Macaca fascicularis: one gene and its partners. The protein of the gene in region 3 interacts with the protein of the main gene of each other region in a pairwise test. Links are inferred from orthologs where the notes say so. Each region holds a gene or a part of one and is shown on either strand. Other genes may lie near its edges. The genes, in order: IGF2BP3, EIF4A2 and PIH1D2.

Evidence for each region.
Region 1: the proteins of PIH1D2 (region 3) and IGF2BP3 interact in a two-hybrid assay, tested with the Homo sapiens proteins (2 studies listed by BioGRID and IntAct). The two-hybrid records come from large-scale screens. The link is inferred for Macaca fascicularis from reciprocal best matches to the Homo sapiens genes PIH1D2 and IGF2BP3.
Region 2: the proteins of PIH1D2 (region 3) and EIF4A2 interact in binary tests that used the Homo sapiens proteins (3 or more experiments, as listed by UniProt). The two-hybrid records come from large-scale screens. The link is inferred for Macaca fascicularis from reciprocal best matches to the Homo sapiens genes PIH1D2 and EIF4A2.

The regions. Positions count from the first base shown.
Region 1 is NC_088377.1:106,804,479-106,809,206, reverse strand, and holds the start of IGF2BP3 (insulin-like growth factor 2 mRNA-binding protein 3), read right to left. Parts: upstream 3,264-4,728; 5' UTR 2,883-3,263; coding exon 2,708-2,882; intron 1,317-2,707; coding exon 1,256-1,316; intron 1-1,255. UniProt on the Homo sapiens protein: RNA-binding factor that may recruit target transcripts to cytoplasmic protein-RNA complexes (mRNPs). This transcript 'caging' into mRNPs allows mRNA transport and transient storage.
Region 2 is NC_088376.1:11,710,196-11,714,923, forward strand, and holds the start of EIF4A2 (eukaryotic initiation factor 4A-II), read right to left. Parts: upstream 3,156-4,728; 5' UTR 3,122-3,155; coding exon 3,093-3,121; intron 2,303-3,092; coding exon 2,254-2,302; intron 2,168-2,253; coding exon 2,035-2,167; intron 1,931-2,034; exon of another isoform or gene 1,862-1,930; intron 1,762-1,861; coding exon 1,622-1,761; intron 840-1,621; coding exon 671-839; intron 560-670; coding exon 450-559; intron 405-449; exon of another isoform or gene 278-404; intron 222-277; coding exon 78-221; intron 53-77; exon of another isoform or gene 1-52. UniProt on the Homo sapiens protein: ATP-dependent RNA helicase which is a subunit of the eIF4F complex involved in cap recognition and is required for mRNA binding to ribosome.
Region 3 is NC_088388.1:111,003,447-111,008,308, reverse strand, and holds the start of PIH1D2 (PIH1 domain-containing protein 2), read left to right. Parts: upstream 1-1,925; 5' UTR 1,926-2,148; exon of another isoform or gene 2,149-2,196; intron 2,197-3,328; 5' UTR 3,329-3,359; coding exon 3,360-3,536; intron 3,537-4,617; coding exon 4,618-4,741; intron 4,742-4,862. Other genes in the region: uncharacterized protein NKAPD1, read right to left, coding at 487-555.

The DNA of each region.
Region 1 (4,728 bases), on a different chromosome or scaffold from region 3:
TTTGTGAAAATGCTTTGCCTGGGAAGAGAGCTGGAATCTACACAGGCATATAGATGACATGTTTTGTAGCCATCTATTTCTGCACAGCACCAGTGAAATGCATAGCAAACTCTCCTGCTCTCCAGCACACACACTCTCACCAATATCTAACCAGATACACGCAGTCCTGATTTAAATTAACTTTCAGCTTATTGTTTGGCTCAGGTTGGGAGTTGGGGGGATGGGAGAGGGGCAGGCAGAAACCCTAACCCCATCTTGCAAAACCCAGAAAGGCTTAGAGGCCCACCCCGGTGCGACTGGGAGGCAGCAGTGCCTTTCCAACTGGAGTTAGAGCCGGAACCTATGGTGTGAGTTGGCTGAAGGTTTTAAAAAATAAAACAAAACAAAAAAATAGAGCCGGAATCTGGCCGGCTCTAGCGAAAGGAAAGGAGTCGCTGCAAAAGGCTTCATAAGAAAAAGAAAAAGGGAAAGAGCCATGTCTCCAAAATGCTTCAGAGGCTAAAACAACCTGCAAACATTCTGTAAAGGGACATACTACACACATGATCTCGGAGACGAGAAATCCCCCTCCTTAAGTGGCACAAAATCTTCCTGTCTTCATCATTTGGTGGTTGTAAGCAAAAATGTACCCAGGAGGAGTAGGGTGGAAAGCGGGGAGACAAAGGTGCTGACTGCAAGAACCTGTAGAACTTTGGAATGACTCAAAGGCACTTCTGGGCCGGAGAGGCCCCGGCGTTTACGCACGCGTTCCAATACCCCTGGCGAGCTCACAGGGCAGAGGCAAATTCCTCTCCAGTCGGCCGCGCCCACGGCCTCCCAAATCCGGACAGAAAGGCGCGCCCCCCGCGTGTCCGCAGCTGGTTTCGCCTTTCTTGCTCCTGGAGGGGTAGGGGAATCATCCGCTGCTTCCCAAGTCCTGCAGAGTACCCCCCGAAACTGCTTGTTGCGACCCATTTCCCGTAGGAGCAATTTGACCCGCTGTGACCGAGGACATTCAGCTGTGAGCTTCCGAGAGATTTTGTAACCAATAACCATAATCCCGCGGCAGAGGCCACAGACAAGCTTTCAATTCCTACCCAGCATCATCAACACACACACACACACCCCCGCCATAAACTTAAAAGCAAGGGGAAAAGACCAGAACACCACGCCACACCGCAGCCGGGTAAGCACCAAAGGACAAGTTCTCAGCTGAGTCTCTCCACCCAATAACGGAGTGAGAACAGAATCGGGGGAAACAGAAGCAGCAGCTCACCTTTGCCTTTTTGGGACCGAGTGCTCAACTTCTATGGGTTTCCCGTGCAGTTCTATTTTACCTGCGGACACACAAGAAGTGAGAGACGGTCGGCCGAGTTCAGCGGCTCTCCCTGCCCGAAAGACCCGCACAGCCCAACTGGCGACACAAATGGCCTCCTGAGGCCCCCGAAGGGTCCCCGAGACCCGGACGCGGCTCCAGACGGAGGGAGAAGCCGACCCCCTCGGGCGGCGTGGGCATTTAACTCGCAGATGGTTGAGGAGCAGGGTCCGCTGACGGGCCCACTACTTGGGTATCAGTCCAGTCCCCAAAGCCTCCCCCACCCACCCCTGGGGGCCACCAACACGAAGCCCCCAAGAGGGACACGGCCCATCCTCTCACCGCCCTGGACACGCTCCACAGGACAGACTCGGGGCAGGGGGCTCCCCTGGCTTTCTTCTGGAGGGGGCGCCCTGGCTCTGCCCTCTGCTTCAGCCCAACCCGCCGGGAACACTTAGGAGTGGGCTTGGGGAGGACAGGGAGTGGCGGGAAAGGGTCGGGGACGGCAGGGGAGACCCAGAACGGGAGAACTGGCAGAGGCGCAGCTCGGCTCAGGCTGAACCAAGAGCGAAGGACTGCGAGGCGCCCGCACCACGTCTGAGTTGATTAAAAGGGAAGCCGAAAAGCACGGGGCTCCCATGGGGACCCCAGCACAGCCTTCCCCCGGGCGTCCCGCCCCGCCCGGCACCGTCCCTCGCCCTGGCGGAGCCATACCCGGAGGCCGCAGCCCCGCGCCAGGGCCCGGAGAGCGGCGGGCGGCCCGGTGCGTGGCGGCGACTCCCTTCCAGGCGACCAGCCGCCCCCGCCCACCTGCCCCTATCGCTCGTCGGACCGGGGGAGGTGGAACGGGGAAACCGGGCACACTCTCTCCTCCCGCAGGGTGGGGAGGAAGCGCGGGGCCGCCTGTGCGAGGCACCAGCCCCGCGGTCTCACTCGGCAGCAAGGTCGAGGCCACTTTCCGTTCTCCACGGCCGGGGTTTCGGGGCGCAGAACAGACAGCGCCGTAAATAACGACCGAGGAAAGCAGGAAGGAATGAGACACAGGCGGGCATTCTAGCTCGGCCCCCGAGGCCCAGCGTGCCGGGGCCTGGAGCACGCGCCTGGGCCCGGGCGGGGCGCCGGGGGAGCGCGCCTCCCCCAGCCCCGCGCCCCCCTTAGCCAGCGCCGGGGCTTTCTTGACAGCGCGTCCGCCCTCACCCAACAAACCCCGGCCGGGGAAGCAGAGCCGCGGGCTGGAGTGGGAGCCGAAGCTGAGGAGAGCCCCGGCCCCCACGCGCGTGGGTGTGGGCGCTGAGGCCTCACCCCCGCTCCCCCAGCGCGCCGGGCCTGGGGCCCGCGGAACCACCCCGGTGGGTCTGGGCGGGCGGTGCAGGGCTGGGGCGAGAGCCCGGGTGGGGCCAGGCCCGGGCCCACCTGAAAGCGCCTCGATGGCCTTGAGGGCCCAGCTCTCGTCCGGGCAGTCCACGAACGCGTAGCCAGTCTTCACCAGGAAGGGTCCCGACACCGGGATCTTGGCGTCCTTGAAGATACTTTCTAGGTCCGAGGGGGCGGCGTTGTCGCTGAGGTTTCCGATATACAGTTTGTTCATTGTGAAGAGTGGTTGTTTAAAAAAAAAATTAACGAGAAAAACGAAAAATTAAAACCACCCACGGTGATGGATGGATCCAGCTGGTTTTGTTCCCCTCGTCTTCTCGCCTTTAAAATACACAAACACAGTAAGAACCAAGCACAAGAATGAGGAGCGAAAAATCAGATCCGAGGCTTGTTTTTCCTTGTCTAGATATGTTTTAAAAGAGAAAGAAAAGAAAAAGCCTAGCTACAACCCAAACGCATCCACCAGTCTTCCTAAGTCTGAGAAGGAGGCGGGATTAGCAAGAGAAAGGAGGAGGAGGAGGGGAAAAAACTACTTTTTGTCTCTTCCTCCCCAACCCCTTTGGCTTCGGCCAGCGGACTGTGAAAATATCACACTACGTGAGGCAGGCGCCGCCTCCCCATAAAAAACCCAGAAGGGTGACTGGCAGGAGGGAGGGGAGAGGAGGAGGAGGAGGGATGAAGGCGCAGGAGGCGGAAAAAATCCGCTCCGAGTGTCCGGCTTTTTGAATGAGCCACGTGTTCAAACTACAAATCAACGTCTCACGTGAGGAATCCCAGAGCCTCAATTAGAGTGGGTTTCAGAGAAAAAAAAAAAAGCGAGCGAGAGGAAGAGGGGGAGGGGAAACGAGATTGGGAGAGGGACCCTGAGAAGGCGGAGGAGGAAGAGGGAAAATGCTAAAGGAACCGCAGCCGGCACCGAGGGGAGCGCGGCGCGGGGCGCTGACGGTCACAACTCGAGTTTGGAAAGGGTTATCTGGTCTGGGCGGATCCTGGGAGGGAGGGCTGGAATATTGATTTTTTTTTTTTTTTTTTAATGAGGAAATGGGTAGAGGTACTAACAGGCAATTCCTCAGCTTTAGTTACCGTAGTTTTAATCATTCGATTTTTCAAAATAGGTTATTAACAACAAAACCAGAGTCACAATCTCGAACTCGCCTGGTGGCTTTAATGGCATTAGAAGTGTAACCCCAGCAAAGCCGCAGGCACGTTTCTAAGGCTGGCAGGGACGGAAACGATGCGAGGAGGGGTGGGGGACTGGGTGAAGGGGGCAAGGGGTAGTGGCAAGACAGGCGGGCGACGCACCCCACCCTGTGCGCCCTTCTCGGGCCCCGGGCACCCCGCGAGTGGGGGCGGCCCGGGCCCGGGGCGGTGGGGGATGGGAGCCCGCAGCGTCCTGGGCGGGTGTCTGGGCGACACCTCCTCCGCCTCCGCCTGCGCTCGCGGTGGCTCTCGGCTTCGCGTTTGCCATTGGTTGCGCGATTCAGAAAAGGCTCCAGGATAAATGAGGCCGGGGGCGGGCTTGGCCACTGGTGGGGGAGGGGAGTGCAGGGGCGGAGGTTTCTAGCTAGGGGCTGGGGTCGTCGGGGACCTGGGCCGCTGGAGGAGAGAAGTCAAAGTGGGAGAAGTCGGTACTTAAAGGGAAATCCTCTCTTCCTGTAGTTTTTAAAGGGGGAGGAGTGGAGCAGGCTGGTACTTTTATTTAATTAATTTTAGTTGGAGAACTTGAGACTTAAAATTGGAAGACCGTCCTGCGTTACCCCTAGGTGGGATTCGTATTTGAAAAACTGTTCGAGCCTCTTTCTGCCTCTTTTCTGCCTACATTTGGTCATGAGAGCCATACATAATTTTCTCTATATGTAATGAGCACAATGGTGGTTGTCGGGGGAGGATTTGGGCCCGGTGGAGCCTTTGTGGGCCAACACAATGTGAACTGGAGACGAGCAATACGGAAACGAAGGCAGTGCTGGGGTTCTAGTGGAAATCTCCAAGTGTCGTTTAATGATTGTGTACTCCACTCAAAGCTTTCATTTGCACTAGATAGTTGTGTTTTTAACAGGTAT
Region 2 (4,728 bases), on a different chromosome or scaffold from region 3:
AAGACATAGTCCTAGTGTCTGCAATTTTAGCACAGTGCTTATACAAGAAGGTAAAATAATGTCTAACAATCAGTTACCTCTCTCTCAACATTAATATAAAACTGTTTGATTCCTTCAAGGGTCAATTCTTCCTTTTTCACCAGAATTCGAATTGGATCTCTCATGAATTTTTTGGTCACTTCCAACACATCAGTTGGCATTGTGGCAGAAAGCAACACAACCTTGAAAAGAGAAAATTATGTTGTAGAACAACTTACACAGTAATACCCAAGAGAAAATGTTTGAAGCCAAGCGTCTCTGTCTCACTACAGAATGGAGTTAGACAGAGATAGTTATGCATCAAGTGCTTTAAGCAGGGGGAACGACAATAAAACACGTCAGTTGTATTGTAACAGTACCTGCATTAAACCCCATCTGTACCTTTAAGAGGGGAGTGAAGTAATGCTTACCTGAATACTTGTGTTTAGTTTTTGGAAAATCTCATAGATTTGATCCTTAAACCCACGGCTCAACATTTCATCTGCTTCATCCAAAACAAACATTTTGATCCATTTTGGAGCTGTTAGAAACAAAGTCATACTGTCACTTCTAGATCTACTCAGTAATATGATGACTTTTCAACTGTAACAGTAAAAAAAAAAAAAAAAACTCTTTTAAAGACAATACTTACAAAGATATCTTCTGTTTAACATATCAAAAACTCTCCCAGGTGTACCAACAACAATATGTGGTGCTTCGGCCTGCAGTTTTTGCATTTCATTTCGAACATTTGTTCCACCAATGCAGGCATGACAAGTTGCTCCCATATAGTCTCCAAGTGCCAGAATTACCTTTTGGATCTAAAAACCAAGCCTTAATTATTATCCTGAAGAACTCCAGGATCAATGACTACTTTTTAAAGCATAATGGCAAATTTAAACTGGTCTGCCAACAGCTTTTATGCATGCACAGCACGAAACTACTTCCAAGCTTAAAACGCAGACTGACCTAACTGCTTCAAGGTAAAACTCCCTTAATGTCTTTCTTCTGCCTTGTCAAACTTGGGATGCTGCTGCCCCACGCATCAGCTAGACAATTCAAGAATAACATTTCCTACATTATTCTTCACTGTGTGTAGGGAGTACATAGTGAAATATATGTTCTGTAATTACAGCTAGGGCAAATAATTTTTTTCCCCCAGAGGGTATTGTGCTTTATATAATCTTGACCTCAATAAAGCCTCCAGCTTTATTAGGAAGGTTTACTTCAAAGCCAATATAGCAGTGAGCTTTGAAAACATAGCATGCAACAGATGCATCACAAACTACGGAGACAGTCAAATGGTAACATGTCACTGCAGTTTTCATGTTGCACAACTGCATTCAAACTTAAAAAATGGGGACAGATCTAGTACATCCAAGAGAGTGTTTCGGATTCTCAATCTATTAGTATACAACCCTACAAACCATACCTGCATACCCAGTTCTTTTAAAGCTTTCAACAAAAACTCCCTGCATGCATGGACAATTAAAAGGAAGGATCTGGTAGGACCAATTTATACTAAGTTTTAAATTCTTCACAGTTGTGAAACCTGAAACCTATGCAACACGCAAGCAGTTTTTTTGAACTACACTATCAATACCTGTTGAGCCAGTTCTCTGGTGGGGGCCAATACTAGTGCTTGGGTCTCCTTGAACTCAATCTCCAACTGTTGCAGGATGGAAATAGCAAATGTGGCTGTCTTGCCAGTACCTGACTGAGCTTGAGCAATCACATCATACCCTAAAAAAAGTAGGATACATATTTACCGATCCCACATCAAATTGTCACTTCTACTTTACACCATGTATTCCATTTGGAACATGAATTATGCCCAAATAATAAGTGATCAGCAATGAGTATTCTCTTCATTTCAGGTCAGTCCCGAAAGATGATTGCCATCATTTCACTTTAAGGAATACAAACAGGTGCTAGTCCCCCAGAGGTTACTTTCCCTTTTACGGTCCATGACTATGTAGAATAAAGTCATTTCCTAAAAATTCCAGTTTCTTTTACCTTTAATACAGGGAATAATAGCTCTCTGCTGAATAGCGGAAGGCTTCTCAAAACCGTAAGCATAGATGCCACGAAGAAGAGACTCCTTTAAATTCATATCATCAAAGTTATCAACAATCTCATTCCAGTTGCTCTGTAAGTTAGAAAAAATAATGCACGCATGAATGAGATGAACACATTCACCTTTTCAAAGCTTCAACATCCACAACCGTTTCTTACCTCGATGACACCATCGGGGTCCATTCCCTCTGGGCCGCCATGTTCTCTGCTGACAAGAATACTGCAGTCAGACATCCCTTCCAAGCCACCTTAACTGCATCTTAAAGGGATAGCCCTTTGCAACCCGTCTCAGCACATTAGCCTCCCCTGCACAAGTTAAAGCAGCAGCTGCAGGACGAATATCACACTGCGCGCCTTCCCTAAAGGTTGGGGGCCGCGGACGTCCGGAAAGGCAGCCCCCCAGGCCCCAGCGCATGGGGATCCCGTTTCGGCGGCGGAGCGTCTCGCGAGAGCTCGGGGCGACGAGCTCCGCCCCCAACAATGCGCAAGCCGGGTGATTGACGCGGGCGGAGCGGCCTGGCGAGAGCGATGCCAACGGTTCGCCGGCACCCGTGCCGGTCCGGTCCCATCGCCTCCGCGCCGTGGCCGAGTGGAGACCGCTGCCTCCAACCCTTCCCCAACTGAAGCCAAGGACCCCCAACTCCTGTGGTTGACCAAAAATAAAGCTTCGGGTCCTGGTTACACTGTACCGAACGCGGACTGCGCCACGGCTGTTTACTGCATGTTTCCCGTGCTCTACACTGGGAGGGGAAGCAGCCAAAATTCCTAATGTCTTAGGGAGGAGAAACGCCCTTTAGCCGCTGCTTTCGCACCATCGTCCTGTCTCCCCACAATCCGGGCCCTACCCATCATGGAAGCTTCTGGAAGGGCACAGGGGTGCTGTACCCTAAGGAAACGTGCACTAAGTTGGAGTTTTTGCCTCCATGCCATCCACTATAATCTCTCCTGGCGCCCTACGACCTTCACTACAGACCGCGACCGCCAACAGCGCGCCATACCTGTTATAATCCGCGGAGCCACCAGACATGATCCGAAAAACCACTCAGCGCCCGACTGAAAAGACAGCAGAGCCCCGCCACCCGTTTTTTATAGGCTCGTGGCCGGAACCCGTTTCTTGCGGAGGAATTTTCTCGCCGTGCTTCGGTCAGCCACAAAATTGTGATCCTGGGGTCGTTACGTCGGATAAAATCCTAAGCAAGACGGTTGGAAAATCCAAATGTGGTAATTTCTCGATATTATAGGGTCGCTGGAAATCCTAGGGCCCGGGGTTGGGTTGGGATTCTTTACCTCGCGGCGGAAGAATATCGCTGCGGCGTTAGTCAAACACCACTTTCCCCGCCCGCCCTGCTCCTACGGGGTTTCCGCGTCCCTGACGCAGAGGCGGGCCGGGGGAGTGGAGCCGGAGCCGGAGCCGGAGGCGGAAGCCGGAGACGCTGCCCGCTGGGCGTCTGGGTCTTCCCGCGTGCGAGGGGTCCCGACTCGCGGCTCGCTGCCGGCGCTCAGGTGCGGGAGGGGAACTCGGTTATTCCACTTGCTCCCACCGCTGTTTAATTTGACAGTGAAGACCTGCCTGGCATTTAGCCCGACCATTAACATCCATTCAGATCTTGGAAACGTAAAATTCCTGCTAGGGAAAATGTCGGCCACCCAGCGAGTCCCGGAAAGTTTGGTTTACCGGTACATTTTGCAGCGAGAAAAAAAAATGGAGTGTCATTTGCAGATGTCTCTGGAGTAGCCAATTCTATTCTCATATCGTTTCCGGTCTCTCGCTTTCTTTTTAAAAGAGTGTTAATGATTTTAACCTAACAGGTGTGAGGAATGCCTGAAAAAAATCATAAACTTTTGCAAATGGATAGAAGCTAAGGAGCAGTAATTTTCCGTGGAACGCACGAATTTAAATGGACGCTTTGGCAGATACAGCTCTGTGCCGCTTTGGGACTACATCGGTGTTGATTCCGTCTACATTGGTCATTTTTTAAGGGCTTTGAGCTTTACCGATATATAGTGAAATGTTGATTTATTGAAATTCAGAGCAATAATATCCTTGCTGCGTAAACTGCACGAGTCTTTAAGCTCCAGATGTTTTCAATTAGCCCCATCTCAGGTCCCTTCACAGCAACAAAAAAACAATATATGTAGTCATTTAACTTTAAAATACAACCCTACCCATGGTGCAAAATATCGAGAATATCTGGAAACATTTTATCATATTTCAGAAGGCCAACTTAAAGAATCATTACTGGGAAAGCTGACTCAATTTTCTGTATTATTGAAGATATTTGGTTCTAAATACTATTTTAATACGAAAATTATTTATTCATTTGAAAATTCTTATCGTGCCAGGAATTGGGACAAAGATGAAGAATACCAAAATGGCAAAGTGGGCCTGGCCCTCAGTCTATTGGTACTGCTCCTCATTCATTCCTCTGTAATGTTCGAAAGCCATATTTGAGGTGATGCCAGACATTTTCTGAGAATGATGTTTGTCAGAGATCCTTGTTGTCTCATCCAAAATATACTAAAACTATCCTGAGATCTAAGAAATTGAAAAATATACTAAATCAAAAAAGTGACCAACCGTTTGGTTTCACTTGGGTGAAAACAGTTGGTCACAGGGTGATACCAATCAACAAT
Region 3 (4,862 bases):
CAACTCTAATGACCACTGAGGCCTTATCTTCTGCGCCTATCCCTTCATTCCCCGCTTTCTGGAAAATTTCTTGCCATGCCCTGAGTGATTAATGCTCTTTTTTGTTGCCATATTAATGCATGATGCTCTCTATCCAGAATGATCTTTCATACCTAGTAAGCTTATACTTATTCAAGAACCAGTTTAAATGTCAGCAGCTCAAATACCACTAATTCTGTAAAATCTTTTCTAATTCCCCGGGGTAGATTTTATTATTTCCTCCTTAGTGCTCCAAAGCACTTTGCAAATATCTCTGTTATACAGTACTTATCAAACTGTATTATAATTATCTATTGTATTCATCATTTTATTTCCTACTTTGTACAAAAGCTTTCAAAGACTAGATGACAAGAATATTCTTTGTATCTCCCAGTTGTGCCAAAATAATGCTTGGCACACTGCTTACTTTCAGTAAGCACTGAGGAGTAACTAGGTTGTACCTCCCACCTTATTGTGAGCATCTGTGTGCCGGATGACATTCCTCAGGAGAACTTTCCCCAGTGGAATCCGGGACATTCTTCAATCTGAAATGAATCAACAAATAACGTTTAGTAATAATTTATTTTATTACTTTATCTTTTCTTAAATTTTATAAAGAAGCATGAGGTAAAGGAAAGATCACTGAACTAGAAGTCAAAGATCCTAAATAATAGTTTTCCCTTTACCATTAAAAGAGGGAAATGCCTAAACACACTAATGTGAGATGAAAGGAGATAATGTACATTAAAGTTCTTTGAAAATGCACAAGACTGCATAAAATTAAGTGCTTTCATGAGCACCATTTTATTTAATCCTCATAACTATTTTTTATATGAGGCAAATATCTCCATCCCTATTTTGTAGATGAAGTTCCCTTAAACTTGTCATGCCCCAAGCCACATAGTCCCAGGCAAATGATGTATATCAATGTCTAGATTAAAAATCAAACCTCCAATCCCAATATTAGTTTGCAGTGAAGCAAATACGTAGATTTGAGAGTATCAGGAACCACAGGTGTCAACAGTAACAGAAACTGATGACTCAAAACATCAAATGCAAAGATGTCCTAAACTTCTCCATTTGGGAGCATTTTATTTCCTACTTGGTACGGAAGCTTCCAAAAACTAGATGACAAGAATATTTTCGTGTGTAGCTAGCACGGGCTTTGTGCAACCACCCCAACGCTCACTCACCCCTTGATCCTGAGGAAATCAGGCATCTTGTTAGTGAGACGAAGAACCACTCCATTACAAGATCTCCTCCGACCCAGGAAGCCAAGGAGTCAGGGCTCAAAGGCAGCTCTGCAGCTTCACCCGAGTCCTTCGTGAAAACGCAGCCTTCCCACTGGTTAATCTGCCCTCACCTGTGGCCCAGGCCACTGCCGCCTTTCCCCCAGCCCAGATCGACAGGCAGATCTCTCTCGCGGACTGAGGCCGGAGACTGAGCCGGCGCGGAATTCGGACAGCCCGGTTGACCCGGGCATTCCCCCCTCACGCTCCTCTGGGACGAACCCCGGGGGTAAGTTTCACTCCCCAGAAAGGATGGGAACGCTTTGGATGGCTATGGCCTTCGGTTGGGCGCCAGGAAGTATCTAGGGGGCCTGAAGCGGGGGTTGAGGTTTCCAAGTGGAAGACAGAGGAAATATCCCCATCTTTGTCACCGGGATCCCTGTCCCCCAGCGGCCTCGGAGCTCCCGGTAACCTCCCCTCCAAACGCCCTCCCCACACAAATACACACAAACACACCCATACCGTGCGCCGCTGCCTCGCGTGGCGGGGGGTAGGGGGGAAGAAGCGGTTTGGGAGAAAAAGGAGGAGACTTCCTTCTCAGGCCGGAAGTGGTGCTCCTGAGAAATAGTCCCACCAACAGGCAGCCCAGAGACTCCCAGAAGGGAGGGTTTTCAGGACACTCCAGAGGTTGACGGGTGCAGAAGGGAGGCGGGCGCTTTCCTGGAAGAGAAGTGGATCGGGCCCAACTGAAAAGCAAGCCTGGTACCAGAAGGGGGACATTCCGGAACTAGATATGAGGAGACTTTTCTGCCTGAAACTCCCCGGACCCAATTAGATGTTGTACCCAGGCTGGTTACCCTGGTAACAGGCGTCGCGGTTTGTCAAGGAGCTGAGAGAAGAGGTGGGTTTGCCAGCCTATAGAATGACTACCCGTTAGAACAGAGAAGAGGTGGGTTTGCAGACCTATGGAATGATTACCCGTTAGTTAAGCTTCCCATTTAGCGTAACCCTTACACAGTAGTTGAAGAATCTAAACCTTTTTGCCTCGTTCTAAAGATGCTGTGGGACACCTCTCCAATGGGAGAAGAGGCTCTGAAGACGTAGAGAAGTGTCCCAGCCTCTCTATTAGCTTCCTTAATCCTCGCAATAACCCTATGATAATATAGGTATTATCGTCTTCATTTTGAACAGAGTAAGAGGAATATATATATATGTATATGTATGTGTATGTGTATACACACACACACACACACACACACACACACACACACACACACACATTAATTGCTCAAGGTCATACAGCTAGTGAGAGATAGAACTAAGACCGGAATCTAGGCATTCTGGCTCGCAAGTCCATGCTTTGAATTACTAAACTATAATGAGGATTAAGGAAGTCTCATGTGGCCCTCACCCCATACACACCTCTGGCAATTTCAGAACTGGGGAGCCACCAGTCAGTGAGGTGTTGGAACAAGAAGATCAGGAAACCCAGATTTAAAATGATTGCTCTGACTTGTCAGGGTCCAAGTAGAAGTAAAGTCTTATCTGAGAGGACAATGTGAGAATTTAGGAAGAGGTACTAGATAATTAAAGAATAAGGAAAACATAAAGTGGTGCTGCTGATCCACAATCTTTTAGACACAAATGCTAAGTCCTAACTTCACCAAAACAATTCCTGGCCCATTCCGCCTCCCCAAAGCAGAAATGAATCAACAATTACACAGGGCCGGGCGTGGTGGCTCAAGCCTGTAATCCCAGCACTTTGGGAGGCCGAGACGGGCGGATCACAAGGTCAGGAGATCCAGACCATCCTGGCTAACACGGGGAAACCCCGTCTCTACTGAAAAATACAAAAAACTAGCCGGGCGAGGCGGCGGGCGCCTGTAGTCCCAGCTACTTGGGAGGCTGAGGCAGGAGAATGGCATAAACCCGGGAGGCGGAGCTTGCAGTGAGCTGAGATCCGGCCACTGCACTCCAGCCTGGGCGGCAGAGCGAGACTCCGTCTCAAAAAAAAAAAAAAAAAAAAAAAAAAAAAAAAATTACACAGACAGTTTTCTTCCCAAAGTCATGTCTTTCCACAGGCTTAAGAAAATTATTCACCACTCATCAGTCATGGAGACATCCTCAAAGGGTCTGCTCACCCAAGTTACTCAATTTTGGAACCTCCTAGATGATCTAGCTGAAAGTGACCCTGAGGGCTATGAGAAGTTTATTCAACAGCAGCTGAAAGAAGGGAAACAGCTCTGTGCTGACCCACAACCACAGCTTTGTCTACAGACCAGGATTCTGGTATGTCGAGTTGGTGCCAGGGATGGGGAGGTCTTGAATAAAATGATCCCAGAGTAACCACAGAATACTTTGCACTTAGGCATTGCTTTTTTTTTTTTTTTTTTTTTTGAGACAGAGTTTTGCTCTGTCACCCAGGCTGGAGTGCAATGGCATGGTCTTGGCTCACTGCAACCTCCGCCTCCTGGGTTCAAGCGATTCTCCTGCCTCAGGCTCCCAAGTAGCTGGGATTACAGGTGTGCACTACCATGCCTGGCTAATTTTTGTATTATTAGTAAAGACAGGGTTTCACCATGTTGGCCAGGCTGGTCTTGAACTCCTGACCTCAGGTGATCTACCCGCCTCAGCCTCCCAAAGTGCTGTGATTATAGGCATGAGCCACCGCGCCCAGCGGACTTTTTTTTTTTTTTTTTTTTTTTTTTTTGAGATAGGGTTTTGCTGTCGCTGAAGCTGGAGTGCAGTGGCACAATCACAGCTCACAATCACAGTTCATTGCAGCCCAAACGATCCTTCCACCTCAGCCTCCCAAGTAGCTGGGATCACAGGTGGGCACCACCACACCTGGCTAATTTTTAAATTATTTTTGTAGAGACAGGATCTCCCTATGTTTCCCAGGCTAGTCTCGAACTCCTAGGCCTCAAGCGACCCTCCTACCTCGGCCTCTCAAAGTACTAGGGTAACATACGTGAGCCACCACCCTGGTCTGGTTTCCTGATTAAAAGCCAGCAACCTTGGGGAAATCAAGTAACAACAGTATAATCAAACACAATTTTAATACCTAGGCTGCAGTGCAATGGCACAATCTTGGCTCACTGCAATCTCTGCCTCCTGGGTTCAAGCGATTCTCCTGCCTCAGCCTCCTGAGTAGCTGGGATTATCTGCCACCACACCTGGCGGACTTTTGTATTTTTAGTAGAAATGGGGTTTCACCATGTTGGCCAGGCTGGTCTCAAATTCCTGACCTCAGGTGATCCAGGCACCTCGGCCCCCACAAAGTGCTGGGATTACAGGCATGAGCCACCATGCCTGGCCTTAAATGGTTTTAAACTAGGTTTTGAGATGTGCAAAATTATTTGCTTTCCAGAAACCAAAAGAAAAAATACTTTTTATCAACCTGTGTCAGTGGACAAGGATCCCACCTCCCCAATCAGCCACTCATCCAGTACCTCTAACTGTTGGCAAACCAGAAGATACAACTGAGACATCAGGTACAAATAATTAAGGGAGAGAAAGCACATTGTACAAATTTTATTAGGAATGGACAAGATTTTACTTGGTTGAGAGCATTTCAAGTAAAATTCTTTATTTGGTGATAACAGAATTACAATT